2 linked regions of the Diceros bicornis minor genome follow. The protein of the gene in region 2 interacts with the protein of the main gene of each other region in a pairwise test. Links are inferred from orthologs where the notes say so. Each region holds a gene or a part of one and is shown on either strand. Other genes may lie near its edges. The genes, in order: GFER and BNIPL.

Region 1 (11,798 bases), on a different chromosome or scaffold from region 2:
GCAAGAACTGGACAACCTGCTCCAGGAGAAGCGATACCTGCGGGCGCTGGGCCTCGCCATCTCCTTAGACCGGCCGCACACTGTGCTGACTGTTATCCAGGGTCAGTGCTGCCTCAGGGGCCAGACAGACGGTGGGGGGGTGTCTCAGGGGTCCGTCATGCCCCTTCCCTGGGGCTCAGTCTTCCCTCCTCCAACAGCCATCCGGAGGGACCCTGAGGCCTGCGAGAAGCTGGAAGCCACAGTGTTCCAACTGCGGCGAGACCAAAAAGGTCTGGGCAGGCAGGCGGGGGCTGGAAGGTGACTAGCAAGGGTGCAGTGGCCTGCAGGACAGGTTTGACCATCCTTGTCACCTGCAGAGGCCTTGCTGCGTTTCTGTGTCACATGGAACACCAACTCAAGGCACTGCCATGAAGCCCAGGCTGTGCTGGGCGTGCTGCTGAGGCACGAGGCCCCAGAAGAGCTGCTGGCTTACGAGGGTGTGCGGGCCTCCCTTGAGGCCCTGCTGCCCTACACCGGTACGTGGGCACAGCCCTGGGTGGGGGCAGGGAGCAGCCCAGCCAGACTCCGTGGACCCCGTGACAGCCCGCTGTCCTCCCCCAGAGCGACACTTTCAGCGGCTCAGCCGGACGCTGCAGGCAGCCACCTTCTTGGACTTCCTCTGGCACAACATGAAGCTGCCCACCCTCCCTGCTGCCCCCTCTGCCCTCTGAAACATGCAGAAAGCTGTACTTTTCTACCCCAGCTCCCTTTCTTTGTCTGGGCTTTGTCCTACCCCAGGTCTAGGGCACAGCCTTGGCCACTCTGAGGGTGGGCCACCAGCCAGCCCCATCCCTGTGCCCTGGCCTGGCCACCATCCAACAGGCCCTGCCCTTCAGCACAGACACGGGGTGTGGGTCAATCAGAAGAGCTTTACTCAGAGGAAATAGCCTCCTGGCCCTGCCAGCCAGGGAGTCCCACCCTCAAATGCTCCTCCGCAGCCCTGAGGGTGGTATGGCTGCCATCAGTCATCCTGGGGGTCTGGAGCCTCTTTCCTGCAGCTCCAGCTGTGGGGTGCACAGTGCAGCCCTCTCTGCAATTCCACACACCTTCAAAGGGGTCCCTGACCCCTTAGGTCCCGCTCCAGTGCCCTACGGGTGATGGTGCAGCAGTGGCTCTGTATGGCACTCAGTAGGGGTCGGGCGGGCACCGTAGGGGGAAGGGTCGTGGCCTGGAAAAGCTCAGGGGAGCTTTGGGCCTCCCCCACGCTGTCCTCCCCACTGTCAGCCCCACAGTGGAGCCCTGGGCGGCTCAGGAGTGCACCCAGCCTGTCGGGCCGAAGCAGCACAGCGGGGAGAAGACCGGTGCGACCATGGAAGCTGCGGGAAAGGCAGGAGTTGGTTAGCACATGCCTGGTTGCGGTTAGCCTGGGCCCCAGCCAAAGCCCCACGCCCGCACACCTGCACAGCCACCAGCCGCGGTCTGACGTTTTCAGCACACGCACGCGCGCCCCCGCGGGCACTGACAGCTCATCAGCCTGTCTGCTCTCGTAGGCGCAGGAAGCACAGAACTGGGACCCTGGGAGTGGGTGCTTGGGGGTCACCACAGGGCCGCAGAGGCCGTGACCCCCACTTCTCAGTCCCCTAATCATCTCCCGGTGAGTCACCACCCCCAGGCTCTCCCCTGGATCTCTGAGGACACACCGGACCACTCAAACCCACTGGGGCTTCTGCTTGCTGTGGGGACCAAGCACACACTGTGGGGCTGCTGCCACCACCTAGTTGTCCCACCACCTCACTCCCCTGGCTCCGGTGCTTCCTGTGGCCCACCCAGCCCTGCGCATACTTCCCAGTGGTGGTGGTGGTGTGAGGAGGAGGGTTAGTCTCATACCACTACTCCCTAGAGGCTGGCCCCCCTCTCGCCCCTGGCGCGGGGCCACCTCCAGGTAAGGAGCAGGAAACCATGCTGTCTGCTGGTCTTCATTCGCCACCAGCCACCAGCCTGTGTGCAAGAGGTGGGCGAGGATTCAGATCTGGAGGCCCGCTGGGAACCCAGGGGCAGAAGGGCGAGTTCCTGGACCTCTGCCTGGCCCCACCTGAGGGGTGGCGCAGCAGCACGTCCAGAGCCTCCTGGGCCTGCGCGTAGAAGGGCTGATCCCTTGTGTCCTGGGTGCGGAAAGGCTGCAGGCAGCGCAGGGTCTGAGCTTCCAGGCTGCGGATGGCGAGGCTGCTCGTGGGGCGGGGTAGGGGCTCTTCGGGGGTGGGCAGGATCACTAGGCTGGGAAGGACGGCGGGCGCAGGTGAGAGGTGGGTGGGTGGGTGGGGATTGGCCCGCCCCTTCCTAGCCTTCGCTCCTGGGTAGACCCTCCGCCATGCATCCCCAGTCCTCCAAATGCTTCCGCGGGCAGGGAGTTGGGAGAGGGTCAGACACCTGCCAGGCGGCAGCGCGGGATCCAGGTCTGTGGGTTGCGGCGCGAAGAAGGCAGTGAGCGCTGGGCTGCGGGACACACGCTCCGCCGCCGCCAGCAGCGTCTGCAAATAGTTCTCCAGCAGCCGCAGGCGCGCGAGGCCGCGGGCCGTGCGCCTGCCGCGCGCCAACAGCGATGCGTCTGCGGGCGCAACAGGGACAGACCATGGGACCCGGCCCCAGGGCTCCCCCAACCAGGCCGCGGCCGCTGCCGCTGCCGCTGCCGCTCCCGCTCCCTCCCGGGATTCCTGCCGGCCTGACCCGGAAGCTTGGGGAGAACGCGGTCGGATCTCCGCAGCAGGCCCGCCTCCACCGGGAAGGTTTCCTTGAGGGTCTTCTGAGGGCGAGAAGAGGCGTATCAGTCTCCAAGAGCCCAGCGGGTTCCCTTGGGAGGGCGGGGGTCCCTTGCCGGGATCGTAAGGGCTGGGAGCCCGAGAAGGCAGGCACTCAGGTGGGGGTCATTGGTGGGTCATACACTAGGAGGCCGGTTTGGGGAACTAGGGTCACTCACATGAAGCATCCTGAACTCGTCCCAGCTCCTGCGCACGAAGGTGTCGCTGTCATCCGACCAGCGCACAGAGAAGGCGAACGTCTGTTGGAGGAAAGGTTGCGGGCGTCTCCAAGGGGCTGGGCCGAGAACTCTCTCCCTCCCCATTGGAGCCGGCGGGGACCCCGTCGGGTTGTACCTGGAACCGCTCTGTCTGCACCAAGGCCGCAGCGCGCACGGACACGGGGTGCCGGGGGCCTGCCATCGCTGTGGCCTCTTGAGTCCCGGTCGCCAGCTTCTTGAGCCCGCTGCCTCCCTACCCTCTCAGAGGAGGGGGATCCCCCGCACCCGGAAGACTGGTTGGAATTCCCCAGCAACGCCCTAGACCTGCCAGGTCCTTGCAGTGCTGCCCTGCTCCTCGGTTCTTCGCAGCTTCCTCGCTGTGCCCAAAGCCAAAGATCTGGGTGGAGGGGCAGGAGCACAGGGCGCGGGGGGTGCCCAAGGCAGAGCTGGTGAGAGGGGGAGGGAAGAGGTGGTGGAGGTGCCAGGACTGCTGCCTGAGGCCCTCTTTCCCGTCCGCCAAGGAGGAGGAGGAGAAGGAAGAGCCATCAAAGGGCCCCCAGGCCTGGCCCACCCCTCCCGCCTGTCCACGCCCCATGCAGTGCTGGGGCTGCTGAGAGCCTGTGGGCAGGGGATGCCTCCGCTGGCTCTGTCTTTGAACCCACCTGGGGAGCTGACTGCAGTTGTCATCAGGAAACAATGGCCCAGTGCTAAGGGCTTTAAGTGCCTTATTTGGCTTAATCCTCACGTTGGAGGAAAGGTCTCTTAGTGTCCTCAAGTCAGAGAGGAGGAAATTTGTGTTAAATGGATAATTAATGTCAGTTTTTCTGTCTGTGTTGGGGAGGGTCGGACCTCACAGGCTCACCTCAGAGGTTCCCCTGTGGTGCAGACAAGGCAGGAGGAAGAGGGTCCATCTCTGCAGTCACCCACACTTGGGGGTTGGGGGAGGTGGTGACTAGGACTGTTGAGAGCTGCCTCTAATTCATGATTTATCACAATTACCTGCAAACACTGCCTCTGAGATCAGGAGTGACCATTCCCTCACTAACTGGGGTGGTGAGGGGAATATCCTGGAATCCCCAAAGAGGGCATGCCCAGGTGCCTCACCTCTCTGGACTGCTTCCTTATAGGGGTGATTTCCAGAGCCCCAGCCAACCCTGGCGCACAGTGGTTCTTCCTGCTGTTGGGGCCACCAGCTTTGTGTTGGGATTCCCCCTACTCCAAGTCCTCCAGGGAGGGGTCAGACTCTAGGGCATCCCTCCAGGAAACCACTCTGGCCTTGACAGAGGGCCTTTGTTTGTCTGTCTGACCAGTGACTCTCTCTGAACCTGTAAACCTTCCCTGGTCTTGGCCTAGGCAATGAACACCTGCTGACACAGGCCTGATTCGCAGAGTGCCTCTTGCCTGGCTGTCACACTCTCCTGAACTTCAGAGGAGCCACGCTGAGGGCCTGAGGGCTCTGCTGGCCTGGCAGGATCCAGGGTGGAACAGACTCTGCTCCCCTGGAAGACAGAGGAGAGAAGGTGGGGAAGAGCCAGTTTGCTCACAGCCAGGGACCTAGAAGGACTCTGAGGTCCCCTCCCTCCCTCAATGGGCAGACCCTGCTCCACACCCTCAGCAATCCTTGGTCCTTCCCACTCTTACCCTCTCCATATTCCCTACCCTCATCTCTCACCTGAACAACTACAACAGCCCCCTCCCCCAATGCCTGCGCTCCTCACTTGGTCCCATGAAATCCACTCTCCAGAGGAATCTGCAAAAGAGATTTTGCAGGTTGGTGTAGCCCTGCCCAAAACTGTCCAGCATCTTCCTACTGTCCTTAGAATAAATTCCTAGCTCCCATGGTAGCCTATGAGGTCCTTGGTGGGCCTCTGGCCACCTCTGGACCTCCCCTCCCACCACCCTCCTCAGGTCCTGCCCCACTGGCCTTTCTGCCCATGCAAGAGGCCAAGGCCCTCCCACCTCCAGCTTCAGCCTTGACTGCCCTCCTCAGTTGATTCCTCATTCTCAGGGAAGCCTCCCCAATTCACCATGCCCTATTCATGGCCCTCATCACAGTATGTAAGTGAACATTTACTATGGTGACTCCTATTTTTGTTTTTGTTTTTTCTGTCTTGACTGGACTATTGTAGAGAAGAGATTTCCTCTACCCTCTGGGTGCTTCTGGCTGGAGTATGAATTAAATTGACATGAGACAGAATAACAGGAGAAAATTAAACAAAGCTTTATAACACGTATACATGGTAGAGACCCAGGAAAAACTGGGTAACTCCACAAAATGGTGGAGGCTCTCATCTTAAATACCATCTTCAGCTAAAGACAAAGGAAGATGTTGGGGGCAGTGGTTTGGGACTTCAAAGGGGAGGAAAACAATTCACATGGAACTGGAAAAGCAAATGTTTGGTAAACAGAACTTTGATAAGAATGGATTTAGCAAGGACCCTCCCAGTCTACTGATATCTAGAGTTATCTATGGTGATGGCCTGTCCTGGGGACAGGCCTTCTATCTTAAATTTCTTTTAGACAGTTGGGGGCCGGGCTGGGGGGGTGGGGGTCAGTTATGGGAGATTACCAGAAAAGCACAGTAAACAAGAGTAAGGTTATTATGCAGATTTAAGTCCTTGCCTTCTGCATGAATGAGTTGCTAGAGATAAGGTCATCCCCTCTTCTTCCTGATACAAAGAGGGAGATACCTTTACAGATGGAGATTTCCCTTACAAATGTAAATGTCTCCTACAAAGGGTAAATTCTACTTTTCAGAGTTTCTCCCATGTCTGCAGTTTTTTAAAGTAATAATGCTCATCAGCCCAAAATAACCCTCACGCCAAAGAGACACATTTTGGGGTGGCCAACTCTAATCCCCCACACTATGAACTGAGCAGGTCAGGGACAGATCTTGTGCCCCGCCCTGCCCAGCGCCTGTAACAGTGCTTGGAACAGATTAGGCATTACACAAATATTTGCGGAATGAATGAATGTACATATGGAAGCAAAGGTATACCTGAGGACACTCCCGACGTGGGTGTAACCCCTTTATGCAGGTTAATGATCCGGGGCCGCTCGGTGCCCCCGGCAGCCGAGACACGCGCAGAGTTCTCAGCCGGCACCGCCCCTCCCAGCGTTGCCAGGCGCTCGTTGCCATGGCGCCGGTCGCCAGGGCAGATCCGTGGGACCCGGGTCCTAGAGCGCGGTCCTCTGTGCGCTCAGGGCCCTGCCCGCGTTGCCATGGCACCGCGCGGCCTGCCGCTGGGCGCGCCCCCAGCTGAGGGCACAAAGCCTGGCTGCGGGCACGCGGACGGGTCAGAGCGGAGTGATGGGGCCGTCGCGGGCTGCAACACGGACGGCGCCTGGGCCGCCGTCCGAGTCCTCGGCGCAGCCGCGGCGCGGCTTCCACCACACGCTGATCTTCTACTGGAGAAAGCGGGAGCGCCGCCACGGACGACGCAAGCCGGGCTCGGGCCGCGGAACGAGGCCCAGGGGCGCGGCCAAGAGCCGGGCCTCTGGCCCCGCCTCCGCCCCGGCCCGGGCCACCGGCCCCGCCTCCACCCTGGCCCGGGCTTGCGGTGCGTCCTTGGCCCGAACCCCGGCCTCCAGCTCCGCCTCCTCTCGGGCGCGGGCCGCAGCTCCCGGCCCCGCCTCCACGCCGGCCCCCGCCCCGGCTCCGGCTCCGGCTCCGGGCCCCGCCCCCGCGCCCAACTCGGCCCAAGCCCCCGCGCCTGCGCCCAGCTCCTGTGGCCGCGCCCTGGCGGCGGCGCGCGCGCTGGCCTGGAGGCCGACTTGGAGGCCCTTCTGGAGACCGAGCTGGCCCGGCAGGCATTGCGCGGGCAACATGGCGGCGCCCGGGGAGGGGAGGCGCTTCTACGGCGGGAACCTCTTCTCTTTCTTGCCTGGCGGCGCGCGCTCCGAGGTGATGGACGACCTAGTGACGGACGCGCGCGGCCGGGGCGCGGGGCGGAGAGATGCCGCCGCCTCAGCCCCGACGCCAGCCCAGGCGCCGACCGATTCTCAGGTCGCCGAGGACACCTCCCAGAGGCGGCCCTGCCGGGCTTGCGTAGACTTCAAGACCTGGATGCGGACGCAGCAGAAGGTTCAGATGCCCGGGGGTGCCACCTCCCGCAGAGGCCCGCGAGCTCTGCCGACCCCTAGCCCCGGCCCCCACACCTTGTTCTCAGGCGCCCTGGGCAGACCTCCCAAGGCCCAGGCCGAGCGGTCCCACAGGCCCCATGCCTGCAGACTTATGCTTACCAGGGTTGCCTGTCACTAAGTCCTAACCCCAAGGTGGGCCTGGCCTTTCAGCTTTCAGCCACACGTGGGCCAGATCGGCTGCAGGATTTCTGTCTCGAGTCAATAGGTTTCCGGCTAGGGTGGGAAAAAGAGGAGCTTTGTGGGCTTCTGGTCGGGGGAGACTGAACTGACCTTTGGTCGGTCTCCTTCCGCAGCAGGACAGCAAGTTTAGAGAAGATTGTCCTCAGGATCGTGAGGAACTGGGTCGCCATAGCTGGGCTGTCCTTCACACCCTGGCCGCCTACTACCCGGACCTGCCCACCCCAGAACAGCAGCAAGACATGGCCCAGTTCATACATTTATTTTCTAAATTTTACCCGTGTGAGGAGTGTGCAGAAGACATAAGGAAGAGGTAAGTTACGTCTGCATCATTTGCAGGCAGGAGAGCATGCCACCTGGAGCCTGGGTCCCCTGGCTGATGTCATAAAGGGGAACCTAGAGAAATAGGTGCAGAGGTGGCAGAGGGCTTCGGACAGCGGGGACCACCAACAGAGTGGGGATTGGATCATCTGAGCCATCTCCTTTCCCTGTAGAGGCCAAGCAGCCTGGGTCTACTGCCGGGTGCTTTTGCAGCCACAGGGCTCCCGGGGAGGGCTTCCCCCATGAGACCCCTTGCTTAGCACTGATGGAGGCTCCTGCAGGTTAAGGATGACTTCACTTTGCCTGACTTCTGGAGCAGGACTGCTGGTTTCAAGACCTTGAGAATCCACAGCTTTTGCTTCCAAGAGCCACCTTTTTCTCGCTGGGGAGCCTAAGAGCCGCTGTTTGGCACCCTTAGGTGTTTCTGGGCTGGATGTGTGGGGCAGGGCTGCCCTTGCCTTTTGAAGCCTGAGCAATTAGAATGAGGTCTCTTACTGAGCTGAGGTTCCAGAGCCCCAGGTGCTAAGAAACAGGTGTGGTTTTCAGTTATGCCTTTGTGCTGGCTCTACCCCTTCCATACACTGCCCAGGGCAAAGGACACTGGGGTGAGGCTTCCTAATGGTTCTGAGGTTGTAAAGTTGCCTGGTCTGTGCCTTAATGACTTGCCCTGGGCTCTTGTCAGGGTTGCCAAGCTCCCCAGGTGGGTGTCACAGGGTCCGCCCTGTTTGGGGAATTCCTGTCCCTCAGCACAAGGGCACTTCTGGGTGTAGCTCACTGCAGCGCTCCTGCTCGCCTCCCTGGGTGGAGCAGGCAAGGAGCTAGTGGGGCAGGGGCAGGGGGCCCGCTGCCTCCCCCATCCTCCATTGCTCCCCCCATGCAGGATACACAGGAACCAGCCAGATACACGCACGCGCGCATGCTTCACCCAGTGGCTGTGCCGCCTGCACAACGAGGTGAACCGCAAGCTAGGCAAGCCAGACTTCGACTGCTCGCAAGTAGATGAGCGCTGGCGTGATGGCTGGAAGGACGGCTCCTGCGACTAGACGGCAGCCAGCAGGAGTCCATGGGGCAGCCAGCCAGGGCCTGTGGGCAGCCCGGCTGGAGAGGGGAAAGGCACTCATTAAAGTGTGTCAGAGCCAGAGCCTGTCGTGTCTCAGTTAGGTGGTCCCCAGACACTGCCCACAGGGCCCTTTCCCTCCCACATTTGCAGTAGGAGTGGAAGTGTCTGCGCAGGTACCCTGATGGCCGCCGCCTCAGCTGAGGCCCAGTGGGGCTGCAGGTGAAGGAGGCAGGAGCAGCCCAGACTGTCCCTTCCATTCAGGATGTGGCCTCCTGCTCACTCCACACCCTGGCGCCCACTTTCCCACAGGACGGCGACAGGTCTGGCTGGGCTGCCCTGCCAGGCCTGGCCATTGTCTCCCCTCCCATGTAGCTGGGGACAGCTGCAGTGACTGTAGCCCCAGAGACTGTGCGAGCTCTGCACTTCAGGAAAGAGGGCTGGGGGAGAGCTCTCTACGCTGCTCAGTCTACAGGGAAAGCACAGGCAGGGCTCTTCTCCGAGGGTCCACCGACCCTGTTGCCTGCCTCCCATCTAGCACGTTGCCTTCGCTAGCTGCACCAGGCCTGTCAGAGGCTTCATGGGGCCAGCTTCCTTGAAGCTTGAGACCAAAATAAAGTGCTGGAGAAGTGACTGAGGACCTGGCTTCAGTGTGTTTTGTGCTGGGACTTGCAGCGATGGACAGGGTCTGCCCTCGTCCTCTGTGGTCAGCTGCTTCCTCCTGTCTGGGTTCTGGCTCCTTAGGAGGAAAGAGAGGTCCCACGGCAAGAGTGGACCAGGATATTCCAGGAACAGCAAGGAGGCCAAGTTGCTGGAGCCGAGGGAGGGTCAGAGAGGTGAGGGAGGTCAGATGGCACGAGGTCTTCAAGGCCCCAGCAAGGATGTGGTTTTAACATCCAGCTTCAGTCACAAGAAGGTCTTGGAGGACTTGGAGCCAAGGAAAGGTGAGATGTGACTTGAAAGTTCTCTCTGGCTGCTGAGCTGGGATGAGGCAGGCACCCCTGCGGCAGCTAAGAGGGAAGCTCGCCCTGTCGGATGGAGAAGACAGTGGATAGACTCTGAATGTAGAACCAAGAGAAAGGAGCCAAAGGTCACTTCAGGGTTCCAGCCTGAGAAGCTGGAAGGGTGGAGCTGTTCTGTGTAGCAGGGAGATGGAGAAGGCTGTAAGTGGAGCAGGTTTGGGGGTGACCTAGACCCTGCTTTGGGGCCTGCCCGGATCCACTCAGCCACACCTGCTCCCAGGCCTTGGCTCCCAGCTGGAGTGGCCCAGCAAGTGTGCCCCGTCCCTGTGGTCATAAAGCTCTGGTCACCTATATCCCCACGGCGCCTCCGCCTCTCCCTAGGCACAGGCCAGCCTTTGGCCTGGCCTCCTCAGCTCCTTCACCCAACTGGCCCCACAGGGGTGCTGGCTTCTGCAGGGGCTTCCCAGAGGGGCTGGGTGACACAAATAGGTGGGGAGCAGTCAGCACAGAAGTCACTCCTTCCTCTCCCAGATGGACTGTCCCCAGCACAGGGCTTCTCCCTGGCCTTCCCTGTGGTTCGCTCAGGAACATACTGCCCGTATTTGTCCTCCCTCCTGCCCCGCCTCATTTCCCTTTTCCCCCAACTCGGGCTTCCCCGAAGTTTCACCCCCAATAAAACTCTTAACTTTGCCACAGACTTTGCCAGGGCATCCACGCTAAGACAAGTGGGGCTCTAGTTCAAGGGAATGTTCTGGCTCGAGCTGTCAGCACGTAGACCAAGGGAGTGAGCATAGAGGGAGGAGAAGAGCCCCTAGACCACGCCCTGGGGCCACTACAGCTTCAAGGTCACAGGTGGAACAAGAGGAAGGAATCAGAACAGGGTGACAAGAAAGGGCCCATGAAGTAGGAGGAACTCGAGGAGAGGGTGACATCAGAAGCATTTCCAGAAAGGTGGGGAGGGCAGTGTCTGAACTGCCCCTGGACTAAGGGGAGCAGTGACTTGGGACAGCTGGAGGGGAAGTGGGGTCAAGAGTGGAGGTTTGTTTTTAAGAGAAGAAAGCGTAGCATGTTGGGGTGCTAACGCAAATGATCAAGTAAAAGGATGATGCACGAGACAGAGGGCCAACTGTCGCTGACAGGTGAGAGGTGACGGGATTGGACCCACAGTGTGAGGGACTTGACGCAAGACTGGTGGGCAGCACCTCTGGCCACACCTCCCCTGGGATGGGTTCTGTCAGGCATCACCGTTTGTCCACGTGGATGGCACGGCAGGGACCTGAGTTTGAATCCCAGCTCTTTCTGTGATCCAAGAACTCAACCAGCCTGCCTATTTACCATCTGAACAATGGGGTAATAACAGTCCCTACCTCCACAGGTCCTTGTGACCCGCTGGGCACTGTCAACGCCCAAAAAATGTAGACTTTTCGTATCAATGCTCTAGGCAGAAACACAGGAGTCATCCAGGCACCTGCCAGGCTGGCCTGGAAGGAACATGATGGAAGGGACCCTGTCTGACGGGGGGCTGGGGGATGTGTGGAAGAGACCCAGCAGGGGCCAGGAGCTGCTGAGACCCAGCAGGGGCCAGGAGCTGCTAGGCCCCAGCTTAACCAAACTCCCATCTCTGATGCTTCTTCCCACCCTTCGGCCCCAAACTGAATATGTCAGCCACAAGTCAGTCCGGGAGACCCAGGAGTGTGGATGGCTCAGTGAGCGCCCTCGGAATGACAACATCAGGCCACAGGAAAGGAGCAGATACCCCAACTCCCACCCATGCTGGCCTGTGGGCTCTGCCAGCCTGGACAAGTGCTCCTGGGGGCAGAAGCCATCCTCTTTCTCTGTCAGGGAGGCTGGAACCCTCTGAAGAAGAAGCCAGGGTGCAGTGGGGGGTCATGGGAAAGGCCCCAGTATCCTATATTCCGTCTACCGGGGACCAGGACCAGGGAGCCTGGTTCCCCTTCCCTGAGGGCTGAGGGGAAGATGCTGGAGCCCCTAGTTTCCGGTTACCCCCTTACACACTCACGAAAGGGCCCTGCTCAGAGGAGCGGGGTCAGGTTCATCTGTTCGTCCACCTGGCTTCAGCAAAGGCTGAGCCCACTATCTGCCTGCCCTGTTGACTCCTGACTACCTGTGAGGGACAGTGGGGGAT
Region 2 (11,716 bases):
GATCTGAAACAGCTAGTGGTATTATTCGTTGGAGGAAATACTGCATGAGATTTTGGAGAAGAGTATAGATTGGCAAAGAATGAAGAGCCAAGGATGCAGTTGTCACGTCTGTTGTTATTTATATGCCCCATTGTTCTGTTTTAGAATAAAAATACCCACAAGGCAAAGACCCTGCCTGTTTGATTGCGAGAGCAAGAGAGCCTTATACATGCCATACACATTACATACATTATCATTTTTTAATTCTTAAAACCATCATGTTTGGTAAATATTTTATCCCCATTTTACAGATGAGGAAACTTAGGTCCGGGGAGCTTAATATAACTCTTTGATCATAGAGCCGATAGGTAATAGAGCTGATTTTCAAGCCAGCTCTGCTTGAACCCAAAGCCTGTATTCTCCCCATTCTACATACTGGCTCCCAGCACCTAGAAAGCACAGAATAAATATTAGATATGTTTTTTGTGGAGTGCAAGTCCCAGGTTAACATGCAAAGAAACCCTTCATAAGCATTTTTTTGTTGATGGTGACAAGGAGGGTCCAGCTGTAGCCCTCATCCCTGTCCATTTCTTCTCTTTCAGGCCTTTCTGCAGAGGTCTGGCCTCACTGCAGATCTGCATGCCTTCTGCCAGGCTCACAGCTATGATGTCCTGGTCGCCATGGCTATCTTTTTCAACACTCACAATGAGCCAGTGCGGCAGTTGGCTGTTTTCTGTCCCCATGCAGTGCTCCGAATGACGGTGAGTCTCTGTCCCTCCTCCAACCTTAGGGCCATGCAGAGCTCAGCCTGTACACGCTGCCCTGTGCTGTAAACACCTCTCCTTGGTTCTTATCTTTACACAGAGATCCCTTGACCTATTTCGAGAATCTTCCCTCCCCGCTTTTTTCCATTCTCTATGTGAATATCCTTAATCATACTGTTGTTGAGAAAAGGAGATGCCAAAGACCATTAGAAATACAATTCCTGCTTAGAAGGAACTTGAACTCCGGTTAAAAGGAAATGTTATAAATCTGGAGTTTTTAACCAATTCTTGGTTTAATTATTAATTCCTCATCCCTGAAAATCAATTCCTATCTTCTACCCTGTTGCCTTGAAAGTTGGAAACAACAAGAGAAACCTTTTCTACTACTAATCATGCAGGGACTAATTACTCGGTATAGTGCTAACTCTGTCAAGAAGTGATCCAGGAGCAGGTTTGTTTTCTTTTCTGATCATCCATTTGGCCACCTTTCCTACCCCCTCCCCTTTCTTTTCCTCTGTTGGTTACTAATTAGCCCAGGAAAGAATTTAAATGTGGACTTAAGGCATTCCAGGGACTCTTTGGGTTGCATAGGCTATGTGAAGACTGCTGAAGACTGGTCTGAATAAAGCCAGATAATCCTTTGTGCCCCTAAAATGTTTGTCCGCCCTTTCCCACCTCTCTTTGCCTTTATCTTCTCCAGGAAGCAAATGTAACTCCATTCAGTGGAAGGTAGTTTGCCATTGTGGGAAGAACTACAGTTTTTGTTTTTGTTTTTTCTGAGGAAGATTTGCCCTGAGCTAACATCTGTTGCCAGTCTTCCTCTTTATTTTTTTATTTATTTATTTTTTAATGTGAGCCTCTGCCACAGCATGGACTCTAACACATGAGTGGCGTGGTTCCAAGTTGGGGAACCAAACCTGGGCTACTGAAGCGGAGCGCACCAACCTTTAACCACTAGGCCATCGGGGCTGGCCCAAGAACTACAGTTTTTAAAGGCAGATAAACATGCTTTTCTGTCCCAGATTTGCCACTTACTAGCGCTTTGAGCTAAGGCAAGTCAGTTGACTTCTGAGTCTGTAAATGGTGTAATATTACCTACTAATTAGTCTGATATGATCATTAAACACAATATCATATGTAAAGTACATTGCTGGGCACAAAATAAGCACTCAGTAAATGGTGCCTCTTACTAATCATGTCATGAAGGAGAGGGTGCTTCGGCTATAAGAAGGGCCTCTCCCCACCTTCCGAAATCTCCCCACCTTCTCCCTGCACAGCCCCTGTGTGCTGCTCCTCAGAAGCTGTGCAGATATCTGATGACTCTACCATTGCCCAGGCTGCCTCTGTGCTGGGAAATGAGAGTCCTCTTCATGGTCTGCCCTACCATTTCCTCTCTTCCTTCTATGTTAGGAATAGTATAATAGAGTGATTTAGAACAACCGGCTTTGGTGAGAGACATGGATTCAAGTGTCACCTTTGCTTCATTCAAACTATGACCTTAGGCAAGTTACCTAATCTATCTAAGCCTCAGTTTCCCGACCTGTAAATGAGGGTAATAGTAATACCAATCCTATAAGGTAGTTGTGAGGATTAAATGAGATAATATTTGTAAATGACCAGACTTGGCACCATGCCTGGCATACCTCCCAGCCCCAGTTTGATGTAGGCATGCTTTCTGCCTCTATCCTTCCCCTGACCTCAGTATAGATGCTTGTCCCATCCCAGCTAAGGATAGAGTTCAAGTTTTTGAGCACAGGAATACACTTGGAAACAACACTAGGTTAGGAGCTGGGGGTCTTGGGTTCTGGTTCAGACTCTACCATCACCTACATGATTTTGCTCAAAACACTTAATCTCTCTGAGCTTTGGTTTACTTATTAACAAAATGAAATATATGATCTCAAGTGTTTCTTCTGTTTCTGAAATACTATGTATATTAGCTGATGTGCCTTTTATTGCAAGCAATAAAACTGAACTCTGCATGACTTAATGAAAAAAAAAATTTCTCTTCTATAAGAGAAGCCTCTAACTTAGAAGTCTTAGTTCTTTGCTTCACCACCTTACACACCATTTCCCCGTCTTGTCTCCTCCTTAGATCTGTGGAGCCCTGGAACGTTCCCACTCTCCATCCCTGAAGCTGACCCCTGTCCCAAGCACCCACCCTAACCTCCAAGCCTATCTTCAAGGCAACACCCAGGTCTCTCGAAAGAAACTTCTGCCTCTGCTCCAGGAAGCCCTGTCAGAGTATTTTGACTCCATGAAGATCCCTTCAGGGCAGCCTGAGACAGTTGGTTTGTCCAGGGAGCAAGTGGACAAGGAATTGGACAGGGCAGGTAACTCACTGATGCCTGGACTGAGTCAAGATGAGGAGGAGCCTCCACTGCCCCCCACACCCATGAACAGCTTGGTGGATGAGTGCCCTCTGGATCAGGGGCTGCCTAAACTCTCAGCTGAGGCCATCTTTGAGAAGTGCAGTCAGATCTCGCTGTCACGCTCTACTGCTGCCTCCCTGTCCAAGAAGTGACTGTTGGGAGGGAAGGGGATAGTGAGAGAGGTTGCTTGAACCACCTCGAATGCATGTTTTGAGATGTTTCAGCAGTTCTGTCTTTATTGCTCCAGGATCTGGTGTACTGTTCTCATAAACCTGGGAGGAGAGAGAACTGGAAGAAAGCAGCTGCTTTAGGAATGGCTTTCTGCCTTGTCCCCCTAATCTCTACCAATCAGACAAATTTTATTGTTTAATTTAAATTTTTAAATCTACATTGACTCTCTTCTGTTTCATTTGCCAAGGGCACAATGTAATACATACACAGTTCCAGCAGAGCAGCACAAAAAGAATGTGTACACCAAAAGTGCCCTCAGTAAGGCTCTTTACCAGAACAAATATCTCTCATGGAACCAAACGTTCATATATTGAATCCATGTCTCCATGTATTCATTTATTGTCTTAGTAATTCAAGTATTTATTGAAACCCTACTTTAAGCTAGATAGAAAATAGAGTGTGCTTCAGAAACTTATTCCAGTTTTTAGGCTGTAGCAGATTTCCAGCTCCATAACTCCTCTTTCTGCCCCCAGTTTGGTGATGGTGTCTGATTCTGAGATGGCTAAATTTCTATTCTGAGCTTATTGTGACTCTCAGGATTGTTTAGAAGCAGATTGGAGGCCATTATCTTCTGTCCTGATCAGGTTTTCAGTTTCTTTGGATCTCTCTGTCCCAGAGCCACAGGGACCCTGAAGAAACCCAGAAGACCCCTGGTTCTTGAGAGTTCAGGAGACACCCAGGAAGGCCTTAAGACCTCATAGGCACTCTTCACAAAAGACAGCAAAACTGCATTGAGAGCCCTGGCTCTGTCCCCTGCCTGGGTGGATCAGTCAATTTCTTGTCCATCTCATTCTCTTCTTGCTCATAGTAATAAAGGAAGCATGAAGTTCTAATACTGACGGCCATGAACTATGTGTCTTTTGACAAGATACTTCATTTCTCTAGGTCTCATTTTTCCCATCTATAAAACTAAGGATCTGGACGAGATGTTCTCTGGTATTCTGTGATCTGCCTCTTGCTGCCATTGTTTCTCTCCTCTGCTTTTCTGTATTTTTTTTTTTCTGTTTTCCCTGGGAATTTTCAGGGTCACTGGATTGTCTGTATTTATATGTGATTGTACCAAGAGACTCAGCCTCATGTAGCATGTACAGAGGTATGATTCATACATAGTGACCCAGCAAAGAGCTCCCTCCCACTGACTTGTTCTGCATGTGTAGAGTCTCCCTTTTTTCTTCAGACCAAACTGTTCCCCCTTTTCCTACCCCACAGCTCTATTCCATGTAAGTTGCCAATGGTTTCACTGAACAGTAGGGTCTGTGATAGTTTTGGCATGATGTCTTTAGTGTGTGGGGGACAGTCTGACTTTACTTTGAGGGTATGATGTGTGTAGCCATTGGAAGGTAAAAATAGTGGTGTGATTACTGAACCAAAGGAATTTATGTTTTGTAACTTGGGTACTTTATTTTGTATTTTGTTAAAGTATTAAATACTTTTTTTCCTGTTTGGGGTTTTATTATTGCCTCTTTTTACAACTATAATCAAGGCTTTCCCTCTGATAATTGTTTCAGCCTCCTCAAGATTCATCTCCCTTCTTCCTCCTGTACATAATGTCTTCCTTCTGTTGACCCTTTGTGGGAATAATGAGCAACAGTCTTCTATCTCCCGTCATCCTCAGCCTTTCCTTTAACTTGTTTCTTCTTCTAGAACCCTCCTTATAACATACTTCTGTGTCCCTGATTTTGCTTATGCTCAAAAAGTAGGCCCAAAATAGTCTTAAAACCAAAATGAATTTTACCTTTGTGGTTTTTTTTTTTTTTTTTTTTTAAGAGCAGCTTTCAGGTTATAAGATGAGTCTGGAAAGGAGAACAAATTGCCTTCCTAGACTCCCCTAAAACTAGTCACTTTAGAAAATATACTTTCTTCCCCAAAACCCTCCCACACATAGGCAGGATTTTTCTTTTGGGCAAACCTACTCCTTGGGAATGGAGGTGGCAAAACCTGTTTGAAGGTGAAGTTACCTCCCTTCTACCCCTCCCTCCTCCTTGGAGGCAAGAGCAACAACAGCTGAGACAGAGAAAAGGGTACAGAAGTGTTGGGGAGCTGGGGTAATCAGCTTCCTGACAATTCCAAGTGTTTAAAGAGGGAAACAGGAAGACTGGTGAAGATGGGAACTATACAAGAAACAGGAGAAAAGACACTAGATCTTGGGTAAGTGAGATCTCGGCTACCTTGATTGGAAGCGAGGAGTGAATAGTCTTGAAGGACTTTCCCACTATCCAGCTCTCACAGGTCAAATCTCAGGTTGCTAGAGGAGACAAGACTGTAAACGAGTTAATTTGCAGAGAAGGGATGGGGTTGGCTTTGGGTAGGAAACGTCAGTATGGTATGGGAGCTGGGGAACAGGATTACAGATAATTCCCTATTTCTTTTTAAAGGAAGTTTCTATATATTATGTCTGATAAATCTGCCCCTGTTCTCTGTCTCACCCTCCATAATGACCATCGGGAAAGCTGACCCAGAACTAAATTTAGGTCCAGGTTCTTCTTCCCAGCAAATCTCTCTTCTTCCTTACCTTCCTCCCCCACCCTTCTACCTATGCCATGGTTTCCCCTAACCACTCCCCAGCGTGACGGAGGAAAGGCAGGCCTGACTAGGTGCCATCTTCCCCAGCTTTGCCCAGTGACAGCTGGGCAGGTCTGTCAGGTTCCAACCAATTGTAATGTGGAATACCTCTTACCCCTACTGTGTAGGTGGAGCAACTGCCGTAGAAGTAAATATGATTAGCTTTACATTCCATCCTTCCTCTGCTCCTAAACCCAGCAGTTGGGGTAATCTGTTTCCAGCAAGTGTAAATGTGGTAGAAACATCTATCTAGGAAACAAGAGACTTGAGTTCTTTTGAAGGCCTGCCCTCTGCTCTGTACCTTAGTTACTGTTCTTCATTCCAGTGTCTCCAACCTACTCTCCAGTTCCCTTAAGACACTGCCTATTTTGTCTCATGGTAATCTTTTCTTCCGGGGGTCTATCATAGGGTCAGGGAGAACGCAGAAGCAGCAGGACTAGGAGCATCCCCAAGACTTGGGGAACTGGAGCTGAAGGAGGAATGGCAGGATGAAGAATTCCCTAGGTAAGGAAGTGTGAGGGAGGTTGGGAGAAGGGGGGGGATGGTCACAAATGGAGGGCAGGGATGGTAAATTAGGACTTGAAGGAAAGAGGTGGCAAAAAGAAAGCGGAGATGATAAAATTATGGTGGGGAGAGAAAATTAATAAAGTGATACCTGGCTTGATGACTTTAGCCTATATTTCTGCCCCCTTTTAATCTTTTCCCCTCTAGATTGCTTCTTGAAGAGGTTGACCCTTCTGAAGATCCTGAAGATGCTAAAAGAGACTTGCAGGCAGGTAGGTAAATTAGAACCTAGGCCTCAAGTTCTTGATTCTAGTCCAGTGAAGGGTTATGCCACCCTTATCCCTTTAGGTTCTACTTCCCTTTTCCCAAATGTCCCCTGTGTTAGTCCTTCTTTAGAATTCACGCCATATTATCACTTCCATTTACAGGCATTCTGACCTCCCCTCACCAACACACATCTTTCTTTTCTTCTCTTCCCTCCTCCAACCCCAGGCACCCCCAGCACTTTAGCCTTGTGTGGCCGGCGCTGCATGCGCAAACGTCTTTCTGCCCCAGAGCTGAGACTGAATCTGGCTAAGAGGCCTGGAGATAATGGAGCTTCTCCCACCCACTCTGTACCTTCCTCTACTGATGGCAGTTCTGACCTGGAGGTAGACGAATTGGAGACACCTTCAGACTCGGAGCAGCTGGACAGTGGACATGAATTTGAATGGGAAGGTAGGAAAGAAACCTGAGGACTGAACTGGTAGAAGTAGAGGCCAGTGTTAAAGAAGCTCAGGATGGATTTAATGGGACTGAAGTTAGAACTAATAAGGTGGAGACCAAGAGGTAAGGTCAGCAAAATTAATTTCTTCAGAATGGAAAGGTAGAACTACAGATCCAATGTGAGAGTAGTCGGCGGGGGGAGAGTGTCCTTTGTTTATTAAGGATAATTTTATTGAATGACTGTTACATGTTATCACTGAGCTAGAACTGAGTTATAAAGATGAATAAGATAGTTCCTACCCTCAGGGAATTCTCTGTTTAGTAAGAAATAAACATATCTACAAATAAGTGCAGTTAAATATTATGATCTACATGTGTGTAGAGTACAGTGTAGGCAGGGAGAAGGAAGAGGTCAGTTCTGCCCGAGGAGCTAGGAAAAACTTCGCAGAAGAGGTGATTCTGAGCTGATGTTTATCAGGTAGTTGGAGAGACATTCTAGGTGGAAGAAGCAACTTGAGCAATAGCATGGCATGTTGGGGAATTTAAAGCATTTAGCATGACTATTTAGATATTAAGGAAAACTTTGTTTCTTCTCTACTTACAACACTTCTGACACCAAATGTGTGGGTTTTCCCCACACCAACCAATTCTCCAACTCTCCAGACACCAACTGGGTGTCCTACAATTCAATTATGACATTTAACTGGAGTTAGTGCAGACCCCACAGGTTAAGAGCTCACCTACAGGACTGCCCCCAGACTTCAGACACCACTCACATGTCCAGGTTCTGGACATCACCTATGCTTCTGACCAACTGGCTACAAATCAGAGATTCCCACTACCCCCTCCTCAGGTTTGATAATTTGCTAGAATGGCTCACAGAACTCAGGAAAACAGTTTACTTACTAGATTACAGGTTTATTATAAGAGGATACAACTCAGGAACAGCCAGAAGGAAGAGATGCATAGGACAAAGTATGTGGGAAGGGATGTGGAGCTTCCATGCCCTCTGGGGGTGCACCACCCACCCGGCACCTCCATGTGTTCACCGGAAGTTCTCAGAACACCTTCAGTTCAGGTTTTTTATGGAGGCTTCATACATAGGCATGGTTGATTAAATCACCGACCATTAGTGATTATCACAACCGCTAGTTTCTCTCCCCTCCCCAGAGGTCAGAGGGTGGAAGTTCCAACTCTTTAATCACATGGTTGGTTCCTCTGTCAACCAGCCACCTATCCTTAGGGGCTTTCCAAAGTCACCTCATTAACAGAAACTCAAGTCGTTGCAAGGGGCTTTTTATAAATAACAAAAGATACTCCTTTCACCTTTATTATCAAGAGCTGTTTCAGGAACCAGGGACAAAGCCAAAATATATATTTATTATTATATCACAGATATGTAGGGCTGGGAGGTGAAGGGAGAATGACAAAAGGTAGTGCTATGTTAAGTAGGCAAGGGTCAAATCCTGGAGATCCTTGCTACCATGCTAAGGAGTTTAGATTTTGTCCTGTAGGCAATGGGGAGTCATTGAATGGTTTTGATCAAGGGAGTAAAATGATTAAATTTAATGGCTCTGAAAAGATTGGAAACAACCTAAAAGTCCATAGTAGGGTATTAATTCTATTATGGTGCATCCGACAATGGAATACTAAATACTAGGCAACTATTTTTTAAGATGAGGCAGCTCTTTCTATTGCTGTGGAAAGATCATGCAGAATTAGTGGGTATGGTGTATTGCCATTTGAGTAAAAAAGGTAGAGGAGAAAAGAAAGCTTACTCTAGCAGTGGTGTAGAGGGTGGAATGGAGGAAAACAGACTAGAGGTGGGGAGACCAGTTAGGAGGCTGGTACTAAGGCCAGGTGAGAAATGCTAAGAACCTGAACCAGGACAGTAGTTGTGGAAAGAATGATAAAAGAATATAATGGAGGTAGATGGCAGGGGATCTCGGGTCCAGTTGGCTTCAGGGCTGATAGAAAAGAAAGAATCTCAGATGACATACAGTATTCTCTCTCAGGCAGCTAGATGGATGGGGTTGTTCATCAAGAAAGGAAATATGGGAGAGAGGAGGAAGAGAATAAGTCTGAGTTGCACTTTGGGTCTGGTAACTCAGAGATGACAGAGAGACACAAAATAGAGATGTCCACTCTAGGCAGTTAGGGATATAGGTCTGGAGTTAGGAGAGAAGTCTGGGTTAGAGAGGCAAATTGGCATCCTCACCTACCTGCTGGTAATTGAAGACATGGGATTAGATGAACTAACCCAAGGAAAAGCATGGAAGAAGGAAATAAAGAATCCAGAAAAAGCTGATACTCGCAACGGCCATCAACATGCCATAGGGCAAGGTTACCTCAGGGCTATTGTCTAGTGGAAAGGTGAGGGTAATGAGTTGCAGGAAAGAAACTAGCAAGGGGTTGGGTTGATTGGACAAACTAGAACTAGAGTCACGGAAAAAAATTGAAGAAGGAGAGGTTGGAGTAAGAAACTCTAGGAATCTGGAGAAGTTACAAGATACTCAAGGTATATATTCTGCCTTGTTGATCCTTCCCCATCCCTCTCTTTTAGATGAGCTGCCCCAGGCAGAGGGTCTGGGGGCCAGTGAGGCAGCTGAAAGGCTGGGCCGGGGTTGTATGTGGGACGTGGCTGGAGAAGATGGTCATCACTGGAGGGTGTTCCGAACAGGACAGCAGGAGCAGCGAGTGGACATGACTGTCATTGAGCCCTATAAAAAAGTCCTATCTCATGGAGGTAATGGATAGCATAAGTGGAGGATGTAAGAACTGTGACTTCTTGAATAATTGCCTAAGCTGGAAACTCAGTTATTGGGTTCAAAATCCTTCCTGTAACTTCCAGAGACCCTCAGAGTCCCTCAACCTAAATGCACTATCTGTCAATAAATATTTGTTGACTGAATGAATTTTCCCCTTATCTTCCCCAGGTTACCATGGTGATGGCCTCAATGCTGTCATCCTCTTTGCCTCCTGTTATCTACCCAGAAGCAGCATCCCCAACTATACCTATGTCATGGAACACTTGTTTAGGTGAGGTGGAAGGCCTGAAGGGCTTCAGGGTGGATGTTAGGGAGGGAAAAGGAAAAAAAAAACCCTTCCATGATCAGTAGCTGATTGTAGAGTTTATAGTAATGTCTCTCTCAATCCCCACAACCCCAAACACATACTTTCCCTGACAATTTCGTCCCCCCAGGTATATGGTAGGAACTCTGGAGCTGCTGGTAGCTGAAAATTATCTGCTTGTTCACTTGAGCGGAGGCACAAGCAGGGCCCAGGTTCCACCTCTGAGCTGGATACGCCAGTGTTACCGCACTCTGGATCGGCGGTGAGCCTCTGGGACGAGAGGGCTACAACTCTCTATCTTTTCTTTTTCTTTTCCATCTTTCCATCCTTTCTTCATCCATTTAGTCCCTTCCTCTTTTCTTTGTCCCTCTACACCCCTTTCCAAGCCTGTTCTGTCTTCTGTCCTCTCTTGGAGTCAGGGAAATCTACTGTCAAATCTTGCCTTCACCACTTACTAGCTGTATGACTTTGGACAAGTCACTTAACCTTCCTGGGACTCAGTTTCCTTATCTGTGAAATGGCAGTGATAATACCTTAGCCCCCGGGTATTTGTGAAAATCAATGTGGCATACTGCCTGGCACATAGAAGGCACCCCTGCCTATCTCACAGTCTTGCCATTTATTTCACTTTCCACATCTCCATTGTCTTCTTTTCTTCTCTGCCTTCATCCCTGACCCAGATGTCTTTTTTTCCCCCTGATGTTCCTTTTTTTTCCTTTCTTTCCCCCATCTTCCCATTGCTCACTTTCTGTTTCTTTTTGCTTCTTTTCTTTTTTTTTCTCCTCACTGGTCTTCTGCCTGGAGTTTTATAAATAGTCCTGGTCATGGAGGGATGGAGAAGTGTACAAAAAGGACTTAGGCAAGAGTGGGGCACAGGAGGAAAATGGGGTAGAGAAGGCCACGCTGAGGAATTCTGAGAGGAGAGTTTCCTAAAAATGAGGAGCATGGAGGACTAAACAAGATAGATGGAGCTGAGATTGCAGTTAAAGGAATGAGGAGTAAACCCAACTGCCAGAAAAATCTAGAAATCAGAGCAGACGTGAAGGAAGTTAGAGTACAGAAGATAGCTCCACCTGATCTTCAGGCCTGAAGGTGGGAGAAGAATAGGATGACCTGCTATTCTTCTTCAGGCTCCGGAAAAACCTGCGCGCCCTGGTTGTTGTCCATGCCACATGGTATGTGAAGGCATTCCTGGCACTGCTTCGGCCCTTCATCAGGTACTAGCTCTGGGAATAAGGAGTCCCTTCCCCTTCTCCCCATTTTCAAAATCAAGATTAAGAAGATCTTGCCCCACCCCGACTCTTTATAGCTTTAACCACTCTTTACTTGGCACATTTCCCTTTGTAAGAGTCTCCAGGAGCCCTCTTCTTAGTATAAAACACACTTGGTTTATCATCTCTTTTCAGTTCCAAGTTCACACGAAAGATCCGTTTTCTGAACAGCCTGGGAGAACTGGCCCAACTCATCTCCTTGGATCAGGTCCACATCCCTGAAGCTGTCAGACAGTGAGTCCTTAGCTTAATGACA

Evidence for each region.
Region 1: the proteins of BNIPL (region 2) and GFER interact in a two-hybrid assay, tested with the Homo sapiens proteins (2 studies listed by BioGRID and IntAct). The link is inferred for Diceros bicornis minor from reciprocal best matches to the Homo sapiens genes BNIPL and GFER.

Annotation. Positions count from the first base shown.
Region 1 is NC_080765.1:46,421,476-46,433,273, reverse strand, and holds GFER (FAD-linked sulfhydryl oxidase ALR), read left to right. Parts: upstream 1-6,693; 5' UTR 6,694-6,818; coding exon 6,819-7,076; intron 7,077-7,428; coding exon 7,429-7,625; intron 7,626-8,513; coding exon 8,514-8,676; 3' UTR 8,677-9,328; downstream 9,329-11,798. Other genes in the region: TBL3 (transducin beta-like protein 3), read left to right, coding at 1-101, 198-269, 357-515, 601-710; NOXO1 (NADPH oxidase organizer 1), read right to left, coding at 1,088-1,554, 1,867-1,977, 2,072-2,253, 2,407-2,584, 2,704-2,779, 2,954-3,034, 3,129-3,194.
Region 2 is NC_080743.1:55,358,480-55,370,195, forward strand, and holds the start of BNIPL (bcl-2/adenovirus E1B 19 kDa-interacting protein 2-like protein), read left to right. Parts: upstream 1-6,297; 5' UTR 6,298-6,412; intron 6,413-6,502; exon of another isoform or gene 6,503-6,619; 5' UTR 6,620-6,684; intron 6,685-6,904; 5' UTR 6,905-6,942; coding exon 6,943-7,129; intron 7,130-9,680; coding exon 9,681-9,863; intron 9,864-10,053; coding exon 10,054-10,156; intron 10,157-10,319; coding exon 10,320-10,451; intron 10,452-11,319; coding exon 11,320-11,406; intron 11,407-11,595; coding exon 11,596-11,694; intron 11,695-11,716. Other genes in the region: exopolyphosphatase PRUNE1, read left to right, coding at 582-740, 2,839-3,267. UniProt on the Homo sapiens protein: May be a bridge molecule between BCL2 and ARHGAP1/CDC42 in promoting cell death.